2 linked regions of the Oryctolagus cuniculus genome follow. The protein of the gene in region 2 purifies or fractionates together with the protein of the main gene of each other region. This does not show direct contact. Links are inferred from orthologs where the notes say so. Each region holds a gene or a part of one and is shown on either strand. Other genes may lie near its edges. The genes, in order: GLG1 and OSBPL8.

Region 1 (3,823 bases), on a different chromosome or scaffold from region 2:
GTGGACAGAAGTGCTCTCTTTCTCTCTCTTTGTAACTCTTTCAAATAAACAAATCTTTAAGGGAAAAAAAAAAAAAAAAAAAGAAAAAAAAGAAAAAGAAAAGAAAAAGATGCCTGTCTTGCCCCTGAGTGTGTGAGTCTGACATCTGGCTCTGGCTCCCAGGCAATGTGCTCCCTGGGAGGCAGCCATGATGGCTAAAGTAGTCAGGCTCCTGCCAGTCCGTTGGGAGACCTGCACTCAGCTCTGAGCCTTGGAACTGGCTAGGGGTCACTGTGGGCATTTGGGGAGTAAACTAATGAGTGAGAGCTCTGCCTCTTAAAGAAAGAACGACAACATAATCAAAACAAAGCTCAAATATTGCTTAGAAGTCCTCCTCAAAGTTCTGTGGTTCTTTTTTTGTAATATCTATACTGGGGCCGGTGCTGTGGCACAGAAGGCTGGGTGGCTGCCTGCAACTAGTTAAGAGTCCCGGCTGTTCCACCTCCAATCCAGCTCCCTGCTGATGCGCTGGGGAAAGCAGTGGAAGATGGCCCAGGTGCTTGGGCCCCTGCCGACCATGTGGGCCGAAGCTCTTGGCTTCAGTCCTGGCTGCTGCAGCCACTTGAGGAATGAACCAACAGATGGAAGTTCCGTCTCTGTAACGCTTTCAAATAAATAAATAAATAAATAAGTCTTTCAAAATAAAAGACAAAGCTTTTCAAAAAAGGTCAAGTATATTATTTCTGAAATAAACTGAATTTTTAATTTCTTGGATTTTCACCAACACTCACTGACACACCGGTTCTGACATTTTGCTTCAGTACCGCACTCCCGGTGCCCTCCGACAATGGTCCCAGTGCAAACATGAGAGGCTTTCCCAGCAGTTAGTAGAGGTGACAGAATGCTCAAATTACAGGAGGTTAGCAGTCAGGGTCCATATTACAGTTTGGTAAGGGGGAACAGCAGAGAATGCCAGGTAGCAGGGTCTAGCTTTTGATTCTGTCACTACGTGTGTAGACTACAGCGTTAAAGTGAAGACGACAAAGGCGGAGAAAAGGAACTGAGGGAAGAGCAAGGTGCGGGAGGTCACCTTCTTGCACATCTCCGTCTTGATCTTGAGCAGGTTCACTTTGAGGCACTCCTCCACTTGGCCTGTCTGCTCTTGGGCCGCTGCTTCCTCAGCACAGAGACTGGAGATCTGTTCAGACAAAAACAAGGCCTCCCCTTGGGCACAGAAACCAGCAGTTTCCAAAGCAGGTGAATCTGGTGATTCTAACCGGGCCCTGCACTTCACAGTGCATTTGCTCCTTCCACAGGGGCCAGCTGCTGTGTCATGAACAAGGGACAGTGCTGCCAGAACCAGAAATCTTAGTTTCCAAACATGCTCACTTGGTGATCACAGCTTCCTGGTGGATTTCACGTCTCTCTGCCACACTGGCTGGCAGCCTCCATTTGGACACACAGAGCTGCAACTCAATGAATGCACCCATCTCACTGCCAACCCTGTGGCTGGAGGCAGCCTGTCCAAGAACTATCACAAGAAAGGTGACTCCCTGACTCTGACAAAGCAAATGATAACAAACGTCTGGCCCAGACTCTCAATTGGGATGTATGTGCACAAAGGGTTCTAAAACACAGCCCACAGCAAAGATACAAACTTAACTTTATATACAAAGTTTTATGAGCAGCTTCTTTAAAACATCTTTAGTGTTAATCTCCTAAAATTAATGTATGTTGAACAGGTTCTCTAGATGGCTACAAGGTTAAGTAATTTCCAAGGATGGACACTTCTTGAACAGCTATCATGGGAGCACTTCTGTCTTTTTTGGGCCTTCTGAGTTGACCATATAGAATAAAGAGAAGCAAAGAACAAATCATACATGGAGAACCATCATTAAAAATGCCCTTACTCAACAGAGAAATATGGAACCAACACTGTAGGACCAATGCGAAATCTAATCTAGTGTTGCAAAGAACCAGGAATTCAAGTGATACAGGGCCCAGGACATGGGTTTCAACCAAGCCTGGACTCAGCACTGAAGAGAAACCATAGTGAAGAACACCTCCCCTCCTCCCGATCTCTGACCAGCTCTGGCCCACGTCCTACCTCGTCTGAGCAGTGCAGCTGGAGCTGGGGATCGAGTCGATAATCCAGGGCCGACTCCTGGATGATGACTCGGATTTGGTCTTCGCAGTCTGAAGACAGGCGCTGCGTGGGATGCAGGGAGGACGTGTCAGCCCGGGGAAGGGGGAAAAGGTCTGGGGACAAGGGGACAAGAGGTGCCCCAGGGCAACCACCAGCCTACCTGGTCGGCGTATCGCAGCTTGAGGCAGGAGATGACCTGGCCTTCCAGCTCTGAATCATCCTTGGCCTTACTGAGGATCCCGTGGCAGAACTTAGGTATGTCCGCTTTGCAGGCTTTCCTCAGCACGGGGTTTAAGCGGTAATCTACAGCAGACAGCAAGAAGTATGCAAGAAAGCTTCATCCCTGGGTTCACACATTTTCAGAAATCCAATTCCCCATAAGGGATGTAGGTGTCAACAACTGAGGATGACTGGTTTGTTTCCTGGTAAATGTCTGCTGAGCTCTCACTCCTCTGCTGTCAATCAGCAGTACAAGTTCACACAAAGGCACTTCTGCAGGGCCTGGGAATCCTTCTCCTCTGCAGCACCTCTAAAGGATTTGTGGGGGTGGGTGTTGTGATGTAGTGGGTTAAGGCACCGCCTGCAATACCAGCATTCCATATGAGCGCTGGTTCAAGTCCCAGCAGCTCTGTCTCTGACCCCAGACCAGTACTCTGCTGATGTGCCTGGGAAAGCAGCATAAGATGGCCCAAGTGTTTAGGCCCCTGCTACCCATGTGGGAGACCCAGAGGAAGTTCCCGGCGTTAGCCTGGCCCAGTTCTGGCTGTTGTGGCCATTTAGGGAGTGGACCAGCAGGAGGAAGATCTCTCTTTTCTCTCTGTAACTCTTTAAAATAAATAAATAAATAAATCTTAAAAAAAAAAAAAAAATAAGGTCCAGTATTGTGGCATAGCAGGTTAAGTTGCCACCTAAGACACTGCCATATCACATGGGTACCAGTTAGTGTCTCAGCTGCTCCATTTCCGAATCAGCTAATGGCCTGGGAAAAGCAGCAGAGGATGGTCCAAATGCTTGAATCTCCGTAAGCCACATGGGAGACCCATATGAAACTCCTGGCTCCTGGCTTCAGCTTGGCCAAGACCTGGCTGTTGTAACCATCTGGGGAGTGAACCAGCAGACAGAAGATCTGTCTCTCTCACACAATACATACATAAATCTTTAAATAAAAATAAAGGGTTTGTGGTCCCATATCCTAAGTAATCCATACAAAGATTAAGCAAATTTCAGCAACCTTGCCTGTCACAGTTAAAACATTAGGAGACATCCTATTCAGGTTCTTGTAAGGCAGAGTTGAAGTTTCTCTATTCTGAACCAAATTACCTGCCACATGTATAAATCATTAAATCTCCAGACTTTTCTAAGGAACTCAAGTCCTCATTCCTTTGCTTTGCTTTCTTTCTTAACCAATCCTCACTCCTCTTTTATCAAGGACATTTTTCTAGTTCTCAGCTTCTTCCTTCTTGCACTTTATTCCTTTTCTCTAGATATTCCCTCAAAGGAAGACTAAGGCAATTTGCTCACATCCAGACTCCACTGTTAAAATGCAGACAGCAAGGCACCTTGGCTGACTTTGGTACCATATGTCCTTTCCACTCCACTCTGCTCCACCTATAGCTGAGCACTTACCGGTGTTCTGGGTGATCTGGCGCTTGGTTATCATCTGCTTGCACTTGGGGTCCATCAGTTCACTGTTTTTAT
Region 2 (3,823 bases):
AGAGCTATGACAAAAAAAAGTGCTACAGAACGGCAATAGAAAGACAGATCACATGTCACTGTTATTAGGCAGGAAATGCTTCACATATGATGTAATATTTGAAACTTATCTTGAAAAATATATTGGGTTATGACAGGAGGAAAGAGGAAGAACAAAAATCATTCTTCCTAGAAGGAACACCACATGCAAAAACAAAATGGTTAGTTAGTGGGGTTGTATGTGGGAACAGTAAAGTAATTCACATTGGTTAGAATCAAGGAAATAAAATTTCTACATCTGACTATAGTAGTTAAAAATTTTTTTAAAAGCCATTTATTTATGTATTAAAAAGGCAGAATTACAGAGAGAGAAAGAGATGTTCCAACTGCTAGTTCATTCTCCAAATGGCCACAATGGCTGGGGCTGGGCCAGGCTGAACAGAAGCCAGAAGCTTCATCCAGGTCTCCCATGTGGGTAGCAGGGGCCCAAGTACTAGGGCCATCCTTCACTGCTTTCCTTGGCACATTAGCAGGGAGCAGGATCAAAGTGCAGCAGCTCAGACATGAATCGGCACACAAACGGAATGCCAGTGTTGCGGGGGGGTAGCTTAACCTGCTGTGCCACAATGCCAGCCTCTAAATAAATTTTAAACTATATCTTAGACTACATGATGGGAAGATAGGAAAATTTCAATTCTAGTTACGCTACTAAAATTCTAGGCCTTTGAACTAATCCAGTGAACAATACGGTCACTGAAATCATAACCAATTTAGTGGCAGTATCTACTTACTGGAAGTTGTCACCACTATGGAGATTGTTAGCACGTAATAAGCCATACAACGTCACATGTGTGCTATCTGATGAAATGCTCAGGTCATGTTCCTTTCCTTCCCTGATCATTGTACGTTTAAGAAGACTAGAACATTTCAAAGCCAACTCCAAAGCATCCATCCAGCACCTTCCTAGAACACAGATTCAAAGTAGTATATTAAACTATGAAATCGGCACCCATCTTAATTATGTTATCATCAAACATATCATTATTTCTTCAAGAAATATGTAATACAAAATTAACTTGAACATAAATTATTTCCAGGGTTTCTTAAGGCAACTTTTCCAGTTTGAAAAATACTTTTTAAATACTAAGCACTTAGAAACCACTTACAAGTGAATAGTATACAGCATGTATTAGAAAGTATAATGAATATAATATAAATGTACTTTATTTTTCAAACCTTAGAATGCTAAAATGTAGCACAATATGAAGGTACCAAGCAAGGTACACAAAACATCCTAAATGGGATATTATCTTTAGTATAAACAAACCACTGAAAAAACATTGTGTTGTTGATATGTCTATCTCCAGGCTTAGCATCCATTCTACTTACAAGTATGAAAGTTTTTTAAGTCACGAAAATGTCTGCATAGTAGTATCATTAATTGCCATATTAGTTAAGAGAAACATTAATAGCTTTACTTTTTAAATAAAAATATAAACCTATATTAACAAAAAAGTTCATATACATTTGTTAAGTATTCTTAAAATTGATGTGTTTCAAGATCTGCTGGAAATATCAGCCAAGTAGAACATTTTCATATTGAAAGCTCATATATTTTAAAAAATCATCTGATAAAAGGAAACTTTGGAAGGTTACCAGATTCTCTGTTTCAAGCTAGTCTCAACTATGAAACATGAACGTGAGGAAGAAATCCATTATCAGTCACTAAGGTTTGAAAGTTATCTACCTTTATATAAATAAATTTTGCTCTTACCATATTTGGCTCATAAATTATATATTGTCATAGAATAGTATAGAACAGTTTGTATTTGAATAAAAAAATTCCCAGAACACTGTATATGTGTCTCATAAGTGATAAAATTTAGACAATACTAAATGCATATATAAAATGATAGAACTTAATGGGTTACCAGAAAGAACAGTAACAAGTCAAAAAGGTGTTAAAATGTCAATGGAGGATGCAGAAGACATCTGCAAGCTGGTAAATCATGACTCAATTCACAATATCTCTTTCCTATTAGATTTCTCTGTTCATCTACAAAGTTAATGATGTGAATATTTTAAGAATGTCAATTGTTAAATCAATAACAGGAGTCACTGTGCACTTACTCCCCATGTAGGATCTCTGTCCTTAATGTGTTGTACTATGTGAATTAGCGGTATAACTAGTACTCAAATAGTACTTTATACTTTGTGTTTCTGTGTGGGTGCAGACTGTTGAAATCTTTACTTAGTATATACTAAATTGATCTTCATCATATAAAGATAATTGAAAATGAATCTTGATGTGAATGGGATGGGAGAGGGAGCGGGAGATGGGAGGGAGGTTACAGGGGGAAAAGTCGCTATAATCCAAAAGTTGTACTTCATAAATTTATATTTATTAAAGTTAAAAAAGTAATGTGAATATTTTAAACAACTTAAGACCACAATGTTTCTGTTGCAAATGCCATACCTAAAACAGATCTTCCCCAAGGAGAACACATAGAAGCATATAAAATAATCTCTTAAAAATAAAGACCAAAATCCAATTCGCCAAAAACTGTATTTACCATCTGACTCTGAAGTAGCTCGGATAATCAAATAACTGCTAGGTAAGGGCTGAGTAATGGACCCAACTGCTTCACCTTTTGGACCCTGCAAAACAAAATAAAGTAAATGGTGTAGAGTAAGTACTGTGAGAGCTCAACTTTATATTATCCACTATTATCTGTAACAATCTAAATCAGGCATGAATTACAACTTACATGCAAACAAGCTTTAATTTCACCCTTCTTAAGGATGCAGATGGGAAGCACCAAGGAAAGTACTCTTTTCCATCAAATGCAGTTCATTAACAGAAAATGATAGTTAGGATCACTAAAATCTTATTTCTATTTATTGCTAATATATTAAATAGAACCTAAAATTTACCATACTGAGCCAAATTTTAATTTAGCAGATAATTTCCATCCTATAGATATTATTAGATAAGAAATAGTAAATTTCTCAAAATCTAAACAAAACAATTAGAGATATAATTCATAAGAAAAAGAGAAATAAATTTTGACTGGGTCCAGGGTAAAATAAATCTCTATTTTATAACGAATGATACATTCATTTGTATTAAAGGCCAATTATACAAGTTAATTTTATTTTTCAAGAAACAAGAAAGGAAATTCTGTTTTTGGCCAGAGTTTTTTTCAGAAGTATACAACAAAAAATTACTAAGGCTAAACGTAGATGGACACAGTTCTAATCTGGAAAGAAAACTAACCATTTAATTTACAGTGTAACTGTGAAAGAAAAGCAAGTTTTAAAGCTGTTTCTCATTAAGAGTTCTTTTAGACTATCAAAAATAGATTTCAAGAAGCATTAACATTATAGATTCAAGACTCTTCAAAGGTATGTATGTATATTGCCTCTTGAAGCAATACTAGCATGAAAAAAAAATCCAAGCATTTTCAGTCAGATCAAATCTGTGTTCAGTGGTTTTCCATTTTTTTTTTTTTTAAACACTCCCATCTGGGAAGCAGGCATCTTTTATTTATTTAATTTAATTTATTTAGAGATTCACTTATCTATTTGAGGGCCGGCGCCGTGGCTCAATAGGCTAATCCTCCACCTTGCGGCGCCGGCACACCGGGTTCTAGTCCCGGTTGGGGCGCCGGATTCTGTCCCGGTTGCCCCTCTTCCAGGCCAGCTCTCTGCTATGGCCAGGGAGTGCAGTGGAGGATGGCCCAGGTGCTTGGGCCCTGCACCCCATGGGAGACCAGGAAAAGCACCTGGCTCCTGGCTCCTGCCAGGATCAGCGCGGTGCGCCGGCTGCAGCGGCGGCCATTGGA

Evidence for each region.
Region 1: the proteins of OSBPL8 (region 2) and GLG1 purify together in Homo sapiens (co-immunoprecipitation; 3 studies listed by BioGRID and IntAct, with this or other methods). This does not show direct contact. The link is inferred for Oryctolagus cuniculus from reciprocal best matches to the Homo sapiens genes OSBPL8 and GLG1.

What each region holds. Positions count from the first base shown.
Region 1 is NC_091449.1:57,071,985-57,075,807, forward strand, and holds part of GLG1 (Golgi apparatus protein 1), read right to left. Parts: coding exon 3,752-3,823; intron 2,429-3,751; coding exon 2,286-2,428; intron 2,189-2,285; coding exon 2,087-2,188; intron 1,178-2,086; coding exon 1,070-1,177; intron 1-1,069. UniProt on the Homo sapiens protein: Binds fibroblast growth factor and E-selectin (cell-adhesion lectin on endothelial cells mediating the binding of neutrophils).
Region 2 is NC_091442.1:78,875,607-78,879,429, forward strand, and holds part of OSBPL8 (oxysterol-binding protein-related protein 8), read right to left. Parts: intron 2,637-3,823; coding exon 2,552-2,636; intron 942-2,551; coding exon 770-941; intron 1-769. UniProt on the Homo sapiens protein: Lipid transporter involved in lipid countertransport between the endoplasmic reticulum and the plasma membrane: specifically exchanges phosphatidylserine with phosphatidylinositol 4-phosphate (PI4P), delivering phosphatidylserine to the plasma membrane in exchange for PI4P, which is degraded by the SAC1/SACM1L phosphatase in the endoplasmic reticulum.